Schizosaccharomyces pombe: one gene and its partners. The gene in region 1 interacts genetically with each later gene. Each region holds a gene or a part of one and is shown in the gene's direction. Other genes may lie near its edges.

Evidence for each region.
Region 2: mutations in xap5 (region 1) and get1 together harm fitness more than expected from each alone (negative genetic interaction), as found in Schizosaccharomyces pombe (3 studies listed by BioGRID).
Region 3: mutations in xap5 (region 1) and rdp1 together harm fitness less than expected from each alone (positive genetic interaction), as found in Schizosaccharomyces pombe (2 studies listed by BioGRID).

What each region holds. Positions count from the first base shown.
Region 1 is NC_003421.2:752,886-757,566, forward strand, and holds xap5 (splicing factor, xap-5-like protein), read left to right. Parts: upstream 1-2,366; 5' UTR 2,367-2,371; coding exon 2,372-2,520; exon of another isoform or gene 2,521-2,583; coding exon 2,584-3,301; 3' UTR 3,302-3,405; downstream 3,406-4,681. Other genes in the region: SPOM_SPCC1020.13C (DDHD family phospholipase), read left to right, coding at 1-404, 468-1,208, 1,250-1,746; protein Emc6, read left to right, coding at 4,480-4,539, 4,621-4,681.
Region 2 is NC_003423.3:4,316,823-4,321,576, forward strand, and holds get1 (GET complex subunit Get1), read left to right. Parts: upstream 1-2,086; 5' UTR 2,087-2,124; coding exon 2,125-2,211; intron 2,212-2,259; coding exon 2,260-2,626; exon of another isoform or gene 2,627-2,719; coding exon 2,720-2,781; 3' UTR 2,782-3,297; downstream 3,298-4,754. Other genes in the region: m-AAA protease Yta12, read left to right, coding at 1-1,787; SPOM_SPBC16C6.01C (lysine methyltransferase), read right to left, coding at 3,298-4,719.
Region 3 is NC_003424.3:1,322,481-1,330,195, forward strand, and holds rdp1 (RNA-directed RNA polymerase (RDRC) Rdp1), read left to right. Parts: upstream 1-2,460; 5' UTR 2,461-2,525; exon of another isoform or gene 2,526-2,605; 5' UTR 2,606-2,772; coding exon 2,773-6,420; 3' UTR 6,421-6,581; downstream 6,582-7,715. Other genes in the region: exo8 (exocyst complex subunit Exo84), read right to left, coding at 1-1,475, 1,519-1,660, 1,715-1,772, 1,819-1,856; phosphoribosylformylglycinamidine synthase Ade3, read right to left, coding at 6,782-7,715.

The sequences.
Region 1 (4,681 bases):
TATGTTAGAAGAGGGCTACCAGGAAGTGAAGCCATACGCCGTTAACTGGGATAATGTTTTAAAAGAAGAAGAAGAAGGGAAGGATTCTCAAGATGATCCTTCTGTATTGTCTCATAAACGTAACAAGTCCTCTAAGGAATTAATTGATGCGATGCAATGGCCTCTTAAACCTACCTCCTCTGGCAAATATGTATTTTACGAAGACGGATATAGAGCACTCATTTGTCAAGGAGGTTTGTTATCCTATTTTTCAAAAGGGACTCAATCTCGAAGGACCAGTATTAAAGGTATGCCGGTCGTTCGAGATTTTCCTTACTTTGAAGATGATGGTTTTAATGGACCTAAACAAGTTACAGATCTTTTTTTGGTGGTTCATGGTATCGGTCAAAAAAGATCAGAGACTGGTAAGTAAACTTGATTTTTTTTTATCTTACACCGGCATTCAATTACTAATGTTGACAATATAGAGGAACGATTCTTATTTACCAAGACGTGCAACGTTTTTCGTTCATTGATCCAAATTCAGAAAAACATAATGAAAGAGGATCCGTTGATTCGAAACGATTATGAACCACAACTTCTTCCGATATGTTGGAGAAATAAGCTTAATTTTAATTCATATATAAAGCCAGTTGCCGGTGATGAAGGACGGGTTGAGGATGAAGAATTTGAAGAAAATCGATTTTCAATTGAGGATATTGAAATTGATAGCATTCCAGCGGTGCGAAGGTTATTAGGAGATGTGATGAGTGATATTCCCTATTATATGTCTCATCACAAAGAATCCATTATAAAGTCTGTAATTCGTGAAGCTAATAGGGTTTACCATTTGTGGAAGGACTGCAATCCTTACTTTTTAGAAAACAAGGGCCGTATCTTTATAATTGGGCATTCTTTGGGCTCCACAGTTGTTTTTGATATTTTGTCACTTCAACCCACTTTTGTCAAAGAAATTACTATAGACGATGATGAAAGCTGCTTTATATTCGACACAAACGGTTTTTTTTGTTTTGGTGGTCCGGTAGGTTTTTTTTTGCATTTGAATCAACAAAGTATTATTCCTCGTCGTGGAAGAGGCTCATCAAGATACGAAATAAATAAAAACTTTATAAATTCTGATGTTCCAAAGTCATATACTTACGATGGTTATGATCGGTACGGATGTCTCGCAGTCGACTCTTTTTATAACATCTATAATCACCTTGATCGTAAGCGCATCATTAAATTATCGTATTTACTAACAAATTAGCCGTTGCGATGCGATTAAATCCCACAGTGGATCTCTCATTTTCGAAAGGCATCCACCCAACTCGTATACTGTTCACAAGAAAATCTTCAAGTATTTTGAGAATGATCTCACATTCTAATACTGATCCTGTGGAACTTCGAAGTTACAATCAATCTTTGCAGCAAAATAAAAACAATGAGCCCACAGCAGTGGTCCCACTGGAGCCTGAACAGACTGTCGAGTTAGAGACTCGCAATTTTCGCAGAGAAGAAAGGGCCAAGTGGCGCATGCAAGAGTTGAATGAAAACTCTCAGTTGGACTACGTATTTACGAGTGCCCATGGGGTCATTTCAAACAAATATCTTTCTATGCTTTCGGCTCATAGCAGTTACTGGAGTAGTGAGGATCTTGCTTGCTTTTTAGTAGTGGAAACTGGCCGAAACTTTGGTATTGCCAATTCAATTGAGCAATTTCGTGGAAAGCATATGCCACGTATATTCAAAGGGGACAGCTCTTGAAAATTTTCTTTTTATTTTATCTGACAGTATACCAGCGAGCTTCATATTTATTAGCGATGCGAAGTGGACAAATTAAAATGAATTTGATGAACATTGGATAATGATGATTTTTTAGGATCACTTTAATGACTTTATATATTGGCATTCGAAAGATGGTTTTGCATTCAATGACCAGATACGAAAATTTATTAGAGTATTTATAGCAACACTAGTGATTAGCTAGTTTTTTTTTTGTTTTTAATCTATTGCTATTTTTCCAAAGCTTGTTAATACAAACGAGTAATTCGTTTTATTTGTCTCTAGATTGGTTTTAAAAAGTGTCTATACAAGCAGTTAAAGATTACAGAATGCTTCAAAGTGCCCCACCTCGTTGTTATTCTATTTAATAACCGTTTTGACAAATATAAAAAACTTATATGCAACGTGACTTTGGCAAAGTGTGCGTTTATTCTAGGATCCCTCATAGGTAAATGTAAAAAACATGTTCTTCTTCTACGATAAATATAGTAATAGTCATTTCTTTCATTTTGAGATTTGAAAACCGAGGCAAAAAAAGGGTATTTTGGGTATTCAAGCTTATTTGGAAGAACGCTCACCACTCACGTTTTTTTGAATTCTTCATACAATGAGCGGCCATACTGATGCCGATGAAATTCATGAGATTTTACGAAATAGTACGACTGGTTTAGTCCATTTAAAGGATTATCAAAGAGTAAAACAAAACATCGTTGAAAAACGAGAGAAACATGCGCTATCAACCACAAGTACTAAAATGTAAGTGAAAAGAACGAGAAAAGCCCGATAGTATTCTAAATATGACTGACAATTCAATTTTAGAAAAAAGAGAAAAGATGCTTTAAGCAAAAAGGTCAAACAGGGCATTAAAGTTAACAAAGGAAAACTTTCTTTTGGTGAAGATGAAGAACTGGAGAATGATGATCTACCTTTAAAAAAAGTTGAGAAAAAAATGTTTATGGGAAAGGATCCATCTGCGGATACCTCCTTTTTGCCAGATGCAGAGCGAGAAATACGTGAAAACGCGAAGCGAGCCGAATATCGCAAACAATGGCTAAAAGAGCAGGAGCAAATTCGGGAAAAAGAGATTTTGATACCATTTATCTATTACGATGGAACAAGTACCACTTATCATGTAAGGACTAGATTGAAAGATTCGGTTGGACACTTTCTTGCTGATATGAAACAGCAAATCCCATTTTTGAAGAGGATTCTGGATATGGATAAATTTTTACTGGTTCAATCTGATTTAATCATTCCCCATCACCATGAGCTTTACTACTTTTACATTAATAAAGTTCAAGGACGTGATGGACTTTTATTTGACTTTGATAAGCTGTCATGCTCTAGTCCAGAAATGGTTGCAACTACACAACTTCCTTCTCAATGCATTCCTCATCTAGTTCAAAAATCATATTATTTACAAAATCGCCATGTGTTTCCATGTGTGCATTGGGAAGTCTTTGATTCTCGAAAAGATTATTCATTGGAAAAGCATGCAACTGATCCTAACGCTGCATTATTTTACCGGCCCTCATAATGCCTTTTAAAAAGTTTTCGATTTTTTTTCTCTTGGTTCTTTATTTTTGTTTTGCATACTCATACTTCCCTCATCGACTAATTTAATAACAATTTCATTACAACTATATTGTTTTTATGTTTGTATTTTAAACAAATGAATTGCGCCAAACATATAACTTGATAAGCTATACAAAGAGAGAGACTTTGGTAAAAAAGAAACAGATATTATCCACTAAGTATTCGCAATGGGTTTTAGTATTTACACTTACTACTCTCAACATCACTCCAACCTTGACTGAAAACCTTGATTTCATTGATGTGCTATAGGATATTGTAAAATAAAGTAATTAAAAAATTAGCAATTCGCTTTTGGAATTATTAAATGTTTCCTTTATTATTGAATTCTCATATTTCTGCTTGTTTTTATTTAATGTATCGCAGCGTTGGTATGCAAATACATAGTATTTGATCATAAACATATTAACGATACGTTAATTTGCGGTGGATTATACTGTGCTATTTAGGTATACAATTTTTGGTAAAGAAAAAAGTGATCGTGACTGAATGATGAGAATAACTATTCTATTGTAAATAAGAAATGAAATTCGCTTTTCGTTCTCTTGGAAGTATAAGCATGTCGCTTTTACGAATGTTCACGAGTCTCTAATCCTTTCGGTATACTGTAAACAATCTAGTATGTAACGTTTCATCCACCATTTTCAAGTTTTAGAATTAGAAAACCAGTAATACAGGAAATATAAGATGATACTTTTTTCTAAAACAAATAAATATGAAAAATCGACCTTGATGTAAAACGAGAACCTCTTTTAAACAATGCGATTTCCCAATATCCTAGTAATTAGCCCATTTCTGTTCAAAAAAATCAAATGGAAAAAAATAAAGTACTCAATTGTATTGAATAAACTATTTCACCCTCCAAACTAGCCAACATTCAGCCCAAGCAAAAAGTAATGCTTTTTCCCATATCCATATCGCTTGTAGCTTTACATGAAAGATTGGCAATTACGCAGTTTGCAAAATGCTTTTAAGGATACGTCAAGCTGCGAAAAAATTACGTTCCTACTAAGTCCTTATGTAGTTAATACCGCAGTATAAAGATGCGTTATCCATCATTTTTTGGTTATAATTCTACAAGCGGTGAACTCAACTAAACATCAGAATTGTTCATAAGCTAATATGGAAAGGGATAAAGGCGTCGCTCCAATTGTTGTAGAAAATGTTGCATATAATGAACAGGTAAGAAATGATTGCAGAGCTAGATTTTCTTGGTACTAGTTTTTTTAAGGATTTTATAATTGAGTGCTAATGAATCCAAAGGTCGTTTCTTTTGTTCGAAACTTGACTTCTAGTTTTTTCGGGTGCGCAGCTGGTATTTTGG
Region 2 (4,754 bases), on another chromosome or scaffold:
TTGTTAACCGCAATATGGTTAGAGTTATTTTGAGAGGCGGTGTAGCTTCAGGTTCAGGGCAGTACTATTTTTCAATTGGTTCCATCGACTCTTTCGATCGAAAACTAGAGGATGCACAACGTCAACTGGGTATTCCACCTTCTGAATTTGTCCCTGTCGCTTATCATGACGAAGTCTCTGTTCTTGCTACTTTATTGTCTTTTGCTCCCACCTTACTGATCATTGGAAGTGTCATTTATTTATCGCGACGGGCTTCGGGTGCCGCAGGAGGTGGTCAAGGTGGCATTTTTGGAATTGGTAAGAGCCGAGCGAAGATGTTTAATCATGAAACTGATATCAAAATAAAATTTGCTGATGTCGCTGGCGTTGACGAGGCTAAAGAAGAGATTATGGAATTCGTCAAATTTTTAAAAAATCCCAAGTTTTATGAAAGGTTGGGGGCTAAAATTCCTCGTGGTGCCATTCTTTCTGGTCCTCCTGGTACCGGTAAAACTCTTCTTGCTAAAGCCACCGCTGGTGAAGCTAACGTCCCTTTTTTAAGTGTGTCAGGTTCTGAGTTTCTTGAAATGTTTGTTGGTGTTGGACCTTCCCGCGTAAGAGATCTTTTTGCTACTGCTCGCAAGAACGCTCCTTGTATTATTTTCATAGATGAAATTGATGCAATTGGTAAAGCAAGAGGACGTGGAGGACAATTTGGTTCCAATGATGAACGCGAAAGCACTCTTAATCAGCTATTAGTTGAAATGGACGGTTTTACGTCTAGCGAACATATCGTCGTATTCGCTGGTACTAATCGACCAGACGTATTGGACCCGGCACTTCTACGTCCTGGTCGATTCGATCGTCAAATTACGATTGATCGTCCTGATATTGGCGGTCGTGAACAAATATTTAAGGTCCACCTTAAGCATATTAAGGCAGCCGATAACATCGACTTAATTGCCAAGCGTCTTGCCGTCCTAACTTCTGGTTTTACAGGAGCTGATATAATGAATGTATGTAATGAAGGAGCGTTAATTGCAGCACGATCAAATAGTAATGAAGTCCAAATGGTACATTTTGAGCAAGCTATTGAAAGAGTCACGGCAGGTTTGGAAAAGAAGAGTAGGGTACTAAGTCCTGAAGAAAAAAACACCGTTGCTCATCATGAAGCTGGACATGCGGTAGCTGGTTGGTTTATGGAGTACGTCGATCCACTATTGAAGGTCTCAATCATTCCTAGAGCTCAAGCCCTTGGCTATGCTAGTTATTTACCCAAAGATCAGTATCTGATGAGTCGAGGGCAGATTTTAGATCAAATGGGAATGGCTTTGGCTGGGCGTGTTTCTGAAGAAATATTTTTTGGACCAGAAAAGATTACTTCGGGAGCTTCCGATGATTTTCAAAAAGTAACGCGCATGGCTCAAGCGTATGTGACCCAATATGGTATGTCTCCGACTGTTGGTACTATAGCTTATCCCATCGACACTCGGGAAACTGTTCAAAAACCATTTTCTGAGGCTACAGCTCAAATGATTGATGAAGAAATTCGAAAGCTTGTAAAGCATGCATACGAAAGAACTAAGAAACTTTTGCTAGAACATAAGCAAGGCTTAGAAAATATTGCTCAACGTCTATTACAGAAAGAAGTCATCACTTATAACGAAGTTGAGACGATTCTTGGACCAAGGCCATATGCATACAAACATTTAAATATTTCTGAACTTATGCGTCAGTCTGAGTATAAAAATGATCACGATCCTCGAAATCCACCAATCCCCCCATCTCCTCAACAACCTTCTGCCTAATTTGTCAATTTACTGAATTTAAATAAAGCGTTATGAATGAAAATAGTTACTTTCATGGATCTCATGATCAAAGTATTTGTCAATTGAATATCATATAGCTATTTTATCTATTTTTTCTATTTAATATTACAGAAGCTAGATAAATATACTTAACATCAATTCTTCTGAACTTTAAAAGGTTAATAGATTATTATTTTCTAACACAAAATAGCTAATATCGTAACAAACAAACTTGTGTTTAGTTTCGACCTTTAGACCAGCATGTCATAGGGAGCGTGATACTCAACAGTTACACGTTTGACACTAACCACTGTACTTTCTTACAAGTCCATATTTTATGATGGATCTGATTATTTCAACAATTTTATTAAGCTTATTTATTCATTTCTTCGATAAATTTGCAAAAAAAAGGACTATTGATGGGGTAATTTAACATATATACTTGTTGTAAAGAAAACTAATAATGTGAAAGGCTTATCGAATTTACGTTAGTGTTTCTAATAATAAAGATTTAAAGAAGAACAAAGAAATTTTAGAGCAGCTGCTTACTGTTAAGAAAGAGCTAAACGCTACTAGCAGTCAAGATCAGTTTGCTAAATGGGCCCGTCTGAATAGAAAGTATGAACAACTCAGTCAAGAGTGGGAAAAACAATCAGCCAATGTTAAAATTTTCCAAGATACTTTCAAGCGGGTTTTAAGCCTTTTTCTTTGGATTTTAACCCGTGGATTCCGGTTTTATATTCAATTCAAAGAGTCCAAAACACCTGTCTTTTTCCTCCCTGCATTCTTGCTTCCTTCTTGGGCTCTATGGGTGCTATCTCTTCCACGATCAATCTACGGTATGTTGTTTTTAATGAAAATTCTGAAAATCTTTTTTTTATTTTTATTTTCATTTATCACAATGGCAGCTGAAATACTAACATGGCATGTAGGATCGGTTAGCTTAACAGTTTGGAATTTTGCGGTTCAAAAAACTATTTCCGGGATATTTTGATCTCCAAATCATCAAAGACGGTGACTAATTTTAATATTTTATCATTTAGTTTAATTAACTAAAGGGAAAAAGATGCCATATGTATTTTCAGTAAAGTCATTTTATAAATGCGTTTTCTACTTCCTTTTCTCATAAGAAAGAATGCCATGGAAAGCATAGTTTACCATGCACGATTAATATTATGTTATTCCTTCACAAATTGTACACTTTATGTGCTCTACACTGGTTTTCATCTAAATTGTCATCGGATTTCTTATTTCTATGCCTACTAATTCATTTGCTTAATTTGACGCTTTCATATTTCTGATGCTGTTTATACCGAAAGTTTGAAATGGCAAATAGGTTATTTATTACACAGGACATCTAGAAAGGGAACGATGCAGGGTTTTGGAAAACATCATAAAGTTACTACAATGTTAATTAAGAAGGGCACAAAATTATGATTAAAATTTAAGCTGAACTTCGATCTTACCTTTTCCTTTTATGCAACATTTCCAACCGTTGTATGTTGTTTTTTTAATCTTCAAAATTTTCAGTACAAAGATAAATTGTTTCTTGCATTGATTTTTCGAGTAAATTAAGTTCATGATAAAAAATTTGTAAGACTAAACGAGACCTATTCTCTCGTTTAAGAGTCGGATCGCACAATAGAGTCTTATAAGCTTCAGCAGTCAACCCACCATTTTTGAAACGACTAATGCGCTTTTGACACAGCATCTGTAGAAATTCTATAGCCTTACAATAAAAAGAAAAACCAGAGAGTTGAGCAACAACCTTTTCTTTTTCTCCCTCCTTATGTGCTATAAACACAGCCCAGATTTCATTAAAATACTTTGTAAGCATTACTATATTCATATCGCACTTTTGGAATTTGATTTTGTAAATGCAAAAAAATAAATATAAGTAAAGCCCGTAACTGGGACCATGATCTGTTATTATATAAAGATCCATAGGTTGTCTTATCATTACTGAACGTAAAGTCTCAGACTTGTCATTTGCGTATGTAGTTGGGGTGACCAGCAACTCCTGGGTGTTGATTATTCTTTTTTTATGAATCCACTCCATATAAAAATTTCTGTTAGTTTCATAAGCAATCATTGTCATGTCGACGCGCCAAACTTTGCAAGCGGTATCAATAAATCCATACTGCGTGAACAATTCATCAGCGGCAAAGTTTCCGAAGGAGTTGAATATTTCGGACATCTTTCGTATATACTGAAAAGAAATAAATTCTATTTTGATATCGCCTTTATGATCATTTGACTCCTGACAATGTAGCGAAGCAATAGCTGGACCAGACTTGTGATTAAAAATATCGAAAAAGGGTATTAAAGATAAACCGTAGTAGCTGTTAACGTAAAAACACCTGCTTTGGACGAGAACACAAGTCTCTAAATACTGATTCCATTTTGGACAAAGCTGTTTGAGATCAGCATGTTTATAAAAGTAAGGGCGGACCAATTGATCATATTGATTTTTGTATACTCTTAAATTTGTATTTATTACATCAAGCATTGAGGTTCCCTCAAGACACGTTTTATCTTTCCATAATAATGGGGAATCAGGCATACAAGTTTCGTCCAAGGTGTTTAAATAAGCGTTCCACGGACTATCTGTTATATTTTCCAATATTACAGTTATAACGAGCATGACCAGCCCAACCTGATCTCTATTGTCAAAGTTAATATCATCAGACCGATTAGATTCATTAAAATGTGTATACAACGAATCTCCAAATCTTGAGTTGCGAGGACTCAGAATGATCCTTCTAGGAATCTTTGCTAAAACTTCAAGTTCATCTATATCAAAGGTAGAAAATATACCATCTCCTGCGACCCCACTTGAAGCGATATACAGTTTGGGTGAAATGTAAGCTTCGTGTTTTGCTAGCCATTCAAGTAAGGGTTGGTACTTCAAAAATTGCTTGGAATTGTTCATGCTTTATTTAACATGTTTTAATAAGTAGTTAATAA
Region 3 (7,715 bases), on another chromosome or scaffold:
TATCGGCATGGCATCAATTTTAGCTTCCTTTAATTCCGTGTTATAAGTCATTATTTTTGAAACGGCGTCCGTATATGATCTGTCGTGGGCTAAATGTTTATATTGATTTTCTATTAAATCAACAAGAGCCTCAATTTGCTGAAAAATCCAGTTCCTGTAAGCGGGATCCAATTTTTTCAACTCAAATAATTGCAAATAAGAACTAGTAGTTTGCGCTAAACAACGAAACACTATGAACGCGCAAGCATCGATGAAATTAGGAGTGTCTTTTTCCAATTGAACATTCAGACACTTTTCTTTAATCAATAAGGTCCTAGACTTCATAAATACACCTTGTCCCTCCTTTTCATGGCCTAAAGAGCGTAAATAACGAACTATTTCTTTCCCGTGGGAAAGACTGATTCCTTTAAATCCAAGTTGATGAAGTAAAATTTCCGTCACCTTTCGCTTTCTATTGTGAAGTTTATCTGCAAAAAATTCGGCAAACAACTCGTTTAGATTACCACGCTCTAGCTTATTTTGTATCAAAGCCAAATTTCTAATAGCATCCGTAAACTCTTGTAAGCTAATTTGTATGTCGAGATGATCAAATTGCATAGATATTTCCTTTACCATGTTTCTCTGTTTGGCATAAGCCTGAAGGATGTCCTGAGTATCCAGATTTTTACAAAGGACTTGAAAGGATGTATACGAACACATATCGGCTTGTTCCGATTTAGTATGATATTCTAGTTCACGACTAAATTCGAGATCTTCATCATGCTTTCTAGACCAATTTTCTAGTTCTTGAAGCTGGTGATGGCGAGCCTGACGAACCATATAATCCCTTTCTTCACTATTGTGTACTGCCAACAATGTGGTCTTATTGTTATGGTTAATTGACAGTTTGTATAGAGAGACCTCTTTCTCCTTCTGCAGCATTTCAGCACCTGCTGGTCCATAAGTTTCAATTGAAGAAATAGAAATTTCGGTTAAATTCCAATTATACAAAACCTGCTGCTTAGCAGGGAAATCAACTTCTTTCATGTGAGAAGTAGTAACCAACAGTCTATCATTAAACAGAAGCATATTGACAAGAAGCTTAGGTCTCTGATTGTCAATATTGATTAACATCCAATTGTATTGCTCACATATAAGCTGTCTTTGAGGCGCTTCCCAGAATGCTTCATCTAGCCCTTCAATGGATGATCGTAGTCTCTGTACCGTTTGTTTTATTGATTCGTCGGAAGGGTCATGCGTATGGTCGACCAAGTTTAATCCTTCAATGTCAGTCTCCAGGGTTTTCAACAGAGACTGAAACTTTTTAAAATCTGAAGTCATGCTCTCAACCTCCCCTGATATAAATACATATTCATTCAAATTTTTGTAAAAATTCTTTTCCAAATTTTTACGGACGCCCATGTGAATGCGTAGAAGCTTATTGTATAAAGACACAAATTCATCTTCACTAAGGTCCTGTAAAACATCGTTTAAATCTTTTTTGCAAAATTAGTTTCCAATAGACATAATTACACATACAGCTTTGAGCATCAAAATTTTGATTATCGAAAAATTTAGGCTGTAAAAAAACTTCATTTTGTGAAATGATATGTTTTGTTTGCCGTTTTTGTCGATAAATATCATCTGTTTTAGAGGTACCGACTCGTAATCGCGTCGGTGACTTTTAAAAAGCAGTTTTAGTAATAGGTTGTTTTTATTTAACTTCAGTACATACCTGTCTTTGGCTTTCATTTGGTATGGACTCCGAAGCAACACTTAAATGATTAGATTTCCTAACAAAAAATTAGCTCAAACACCCGATATTCTCTAGCTGCGTACATGAATTCATCTTCAAAAGAAGATGGATTGTCAGGCATTTTTTTTTCAAGTTTCTGATAGAAGAATAAATATTATGTATCTAAAGGATGTTAAATTGAATGCTTCACATTTGAAATAAGTTTAACAATTTACCAATTAAAATAAGGGAATGAAGAACCTATTTGTGGTATTTACAAATAGGAATAATAAATTAATTTATCCTTGAGCAATTGCTCTATTTTTAAAAATCTATTAAGTTGTTTGCTTTGCCGAAGTAGTTGGACGTGTTTGTAAAATCAAGCGCTGACGAGGGGTTTGGAATATCAGGGCTGCACTTAATTTTGAAACGAGTAAAGCTACGTAGCTCAAATTATATACCATGCTTAAAAAATAAATTTATAGTAAATATCAGCTAGATATTATAACACGATATTGAACATGAATTAAGGTGCATGATATCAGTCGTTTAACTGATGGAAGTTTCCTAACAATTTTTTATTCCTTGGTGAAAAAACTACCTCAATATCTGCTTTGGATTGAAAACTGAAATTCAACTTGCCGGTTCATATAGGATGAATATGTATTCTTAGTATTTTGATTCTACTTCCCTATACGTAAAGGAGCCTTCACTTAACTTTATTCCACCGTGCTACAAACTTCCTTCAAGAGCAATTCATAGATATTGATACTATAACGGTCAATTAAATTAAAAAGGCACACATATACATGTATGTATAAGTGGATAAATAGGAACATTATAATCTTTTTTATATAAATCGAAGGTTTTTCGTATCTAACGAATTTATAGCCAGCTGAAAGGAATCTTCTATGATAAAAGACCACTTCGCAGAGCGAGGCTGCTGATACTGCATAAAGGCGCTATGAGATTTAGTGTTTTATTTTTACAAAAGGTTCCAAATTGATTTGTTGTCAGGGTTATAATTAAATCCAGATTTTGTATGGCAATGTAAAGCAATGGCAGTTTCGTTAAATGACTTTATAAGTGTTAAATTAAAACGTTATTCTCGTGAGTCACCCTGGGAAAGACTTAGAGTCCCATATAGAAACAAAAAGCAAAAGAAATGGGCTTCCGTTCACAATAATGAAGCTCAGTTGCACTCGGCTAATAAACGAAATGATAATTGTCTAATCCAAAGAAGTAGTACTTGGAGATTGGGGGATATGATTACACTTGTCATAAAAGATATTCCAGTTACTTGGCTTTCAAATGAGGGAGGAAAACTATACAACTTGTGGGAACCCCTTCATGATTACGGTACAATAGAATTCATGAAGATTAATGAACCTTTGAATGGACAGACAAGTACTACTGCAATAGTCCAATTTGCTCCTCCTCCCAAAGTTCCATTCTGGGAACCAAATGGGAAAATAAATGTCAAAGGTGTTGATCTAGCTGTTCAAATTGACATAACAGCACATCGTTCCCACATCAGCCGACAAGTTTTCTCTAAGAATAGTTTTAGAAGCGATCAGCTAGTAAAAATCCCGTTATCCTCCTTTAAGCTCGGGCAAGTTTATGATGAAAGAATTGTCCCACTGTTTGGTGTTGATTGTGGAATAACTGTAACTGAATCAAACTTACTTGTATATTTTAATTTCAAAAAGCTCTGTGTTCTCTTTGATGCTTCTTTTGACAAACAGATCGAAACCTTTCGTCTGGACTTCGATTTTCATTCCATAATAGGCGATGTAGGGACGGATTATTACGATGATCATATTTCCCTCGTATTTAGATTTAGATTTTCTCCACTAATTTTCAGAAAATCTAAAAATGCAACTGAATCCAGAGTTCAAACTTTCTGGACTGCATCTCATCTTTGGAGACGACATTATGATATTCTACCTTTCAATGTTTCACCAACGACTGCTAGTCCTATAGAGCTACTTAATTGCCATAACGCCCCCATTGGACGCTGCAATGTTTTAGTCCTTAGCTTTTCCATAAGGGATGAGTCTGATAAAGATGACATTGCCTTTCTTTTACACAACTTGGAAAAATTCAATTTGAAAAGTCAACTTGATAAAGTGGTTTTCCATCTTGTCCCAGACTACAAACATCGCTGTAGTCTAATAAATGATAAAGAAATTGAGGAAGAGATTGCTTATCTTTTGCAGGCTTGCCTTTCTAAAAACTTATTATCAGAAATTGATTTGCCCATTATATTGGCGAATTTAAAGAAATTATCGAAAGAGAGAGCAAAAAAATTCCTAAGACTAATTCTAACGTCCAAAACCGCTTTAATAAATCCTTCTGAGCTAGATTTTACTAAGTCTTTTGTCTTTTACGATTTATCTTCCGCTTCTTCTATTCACATTAAAAAATTGTACGTTACACCTACTACTCTTCGAATAGTTGAAGACTCATTAGAAGCAGGAAATCGTGTTATAAGAAATTTTAAGGACTTTGCAAACCGTTTTATGCGTGTGCAAATAACTGATGAATACTATAAGCAAAAAATTCGAGGCGGTTCTGATGGGTTTAGAAATGAAAAATTGTATTCTCGCATCCAACAATTATTAACCTACGGAATTAAAGTTGGTAATCAAATTTACGAATTTTTAGCTTTTGGAAATTCTCAATTAAGAGAGCATGGTGCTTACTTTTTTGCTTCGGGATCTGATCTAAATGCCAAACAGATCAGGGAATGGATGGGTGACTTTAGTGAAATCAATTCAGTATCTAAGTATGCAGCAAGGATGGGACAATGCTTTTCAACGACAAAGGAAATTAATCGATTTTGTGTTGACATATCCCTTCAGGATGATATTGTTCGTAACAACCACTGCTTTACTGATGGGGTTGGAATGGCATCATTATCTGTAATTCGAAGACTTTCTTTGGAAGTAAAAAATCATGATATGTTTCCCTCTGCGTTTCAATTTCGTATGGGTGGTTATAAAGGCGTTTTATCTTTAGCTCCTCCGACTAAGCTTGAATACCATCAAGGAAATCTTGTGTTTCCACGCCGTAGTCAAGATAAATTTAAATCATTCCATAGTACCTTGGAAGTTATTAAAATATCTCGATTTTCAAATGCCCATCTGAATATGCAACTGATCACCTTATTGGAAGGACTCGGGGTTGAAAAAACCGTATTTTTGGAATTGACTAGAAGTCAGTTGTCAAAAATGAACGAATCGATAAACAGCAAACAAAAATCCATTTTAATGTTACGGGACAACGTAGATGAATATCACTCTACTTTAATTATTGCTGATTTTATCCAGGCCGGTTTCCTTGAAAGAGATGATGCTTTCACCGAGAATTTATTAAATCTATATTATGAATGGGTTCTTAGGTTAATTAAGGAAAAACAAAAAGTTAGTGTTCCAAAGGGTGCCTATTTACTTGGTGTAGCTGATGAAACTGGAACACTAAAGGGTCATTATGATGATGCTGTTTTGTCAGTACCTGAAATTTTCATCCAAATTACCGACACTTCTACCAGTTTTGGTTCATATTCAACTGGAAAGCTGAAAACAAGGGTTATAGTTGGATTGTGTATTGTTGCAAGGAATCCCTCGCTTCATCCAGGTGACGTACGTGTCTGTAAAGCTGTCAGATGCGATGAGCTTATGCATTTAAAAAATGTGATAGTGTTTCCGACAACGGGTGATCGAAGCATTCCTGCTATGTGCTCTGGTGGTGATCTGGATGGGGATGAGTACACAGTTATATGGGATCAACGTCTTCTTCCTAAAATTGTTAATTATCCCCCATTGCTTGAATCATCTCCCAAGAAGTCTATAGATTTTTTGGAAGGAAAGCCACTTATCGATTCGGTAAAAGAATTTTTTGTGAATTATATAAAATATGATTCGCTAGGTCTAATTTCAAATGCTTGGAAGGCATGGGCCCATGACCATGATAATAATCCGGAAGGGATATTTGGAAATGTGTGTTTAGAACTTGCAGAAATGCATTCAAAAGCTGTAGATTTTGCTAAATCGGGAGTAGCTTGTAAAATGCAAGCCAAATACCATCCCAAACGATATCCTGACTTCATGCAAAAAACAAAAACTCGTTCTTTTCGTTCCGAAACCGCGGTTGGCAAAATTTTCAGATACGCTGCACGATTCCAAAGAGAAAGTGGCAGACCTGCAACTTATAATCCGATAATGAATACTGTTTATGATCCTTGTATGAAACTTCCAAGGTTTAAAACTGAATATCTGAATGTAGCTGAAGAAGTGAAGAAACACTATGATAATGACCTGAGATCAATTATGGCTCGTTTTGATATTTCCACAGAATATGAAGTTTACACAGCTTTTATCCTTTTTAAAGATGATTTAGCTAAAACCGTAAATGAATATGGTCTTAGGGAGGAAGTTAGCTTTCAGTTCGACCTTCTAAAGAAAAAATACACTCAAGAGTACTTAGAGAAATGCGCTTTATCAAATCAATCGGCATTTGATTCTTCGGAATATGAAGAACGGATAAACAGTGCGGTTGCTGCCACTTACGATGTGACATACGATCAACGTGTCAAATCTGTTGGCAATGGCACTACTGAGGTATTGATTTCATTTCCATATTTATTTTCTAGTCGTCTTTGTCAGCTTTCACGAAAAGCCATGCTTACTGCTAATAATTTTTAAATCGAATATACATTCGAAGCTTTAATTGCTCGTAAAAGGCTAATAGTAATTGTACTCATTATCGACAATGGAACATAGAACAGCAAAACAGGTAGCTAGAGTTAACATTTAACAAGACTGTTGTATGTTTCTGCTGAAGGAAAAGAGTTGTCATAATTTTTACACATATACTCGATGGTTAAAGCAATTTAATCGTAATAATGTATAATTAACGATTTTTATATCTGCCAAGCTTAATCTAATTTTCACCATTAATTTAAGTAGAATAATTATAAAATTTTGTAACACGAAACAAACCAAAACTGTAAAGAAACTACGGCATGTGAACTCCAATTCAGCTTCTCCGGGCAAGATAAATGCTTTAACCAACCCATTTTCTAGCAGATTGGAAAAGACGGATCCAAGGACCATGAACGCCCCACTCGCTAGCTTTCGAATGAGGGTAATAACTGTTTGCAACTTTCAAAACTACACGTTCAGGGTGAGGCATCATAGCTAAAAAGCGACCACAAGGGGAGCGAACACCAGCTATAGCATCTCTGCTTCCATTAGGGTTGAATGGATAACGGCTAGTACGCTCGTTGTAGTTGTTAACGTAGTATATCAAATCCAAACCTTCCTTCTTAAATTGTTCGTAATCGGACTCTGAATCGAAAACAGCTCTACCTTCTCCATGGGCAACGACCACGGGTAAACTAGATCCAGCCATACTTTCAGTGAAAATGGATTTTGAACCACTTGTTTCATCGATCTTTAACATAACTGCACGACCTTCGTATTGCGCTGACTCATTAAATGTAAACATAGGCCAGCTTTTAGCTCCTGGAATAAGTGATTTCAGACGACTGAACAGTTGACATCCATTACAAATACCCAAACCAAATGTGTCTTTACGCTCGTTAAAGAAACGGTAAAACTCATTACGAGCATCTTCGTGAAGAAGGATGGAAGTAGCCCATCCATTGCCAGATCCTAAAACATCACCATAAGAAAACCCACCACAAGCAGCAATACCGACAAAATCATCCAAATGAACTCTACCGCTGAGGATATCAGTCATGTGAACATCCACGGCAGTAAAACCGGATGCATAAAAAGCATATGCCATTTCCAAATAACCATTTACGCCTTGTTCACGAAGAATTGCTACTTTGGGACGACTAGTTAAAGCCAAATCAGCGGTAACTGACACATTTGGATCAAATGTAAGGTGGTATCCTAAACCAGGATCATTATTATCGGCAATATTTTCCATTTCCTGTCGTGCACATTCAGGATTGTCACGAATTTCTTGC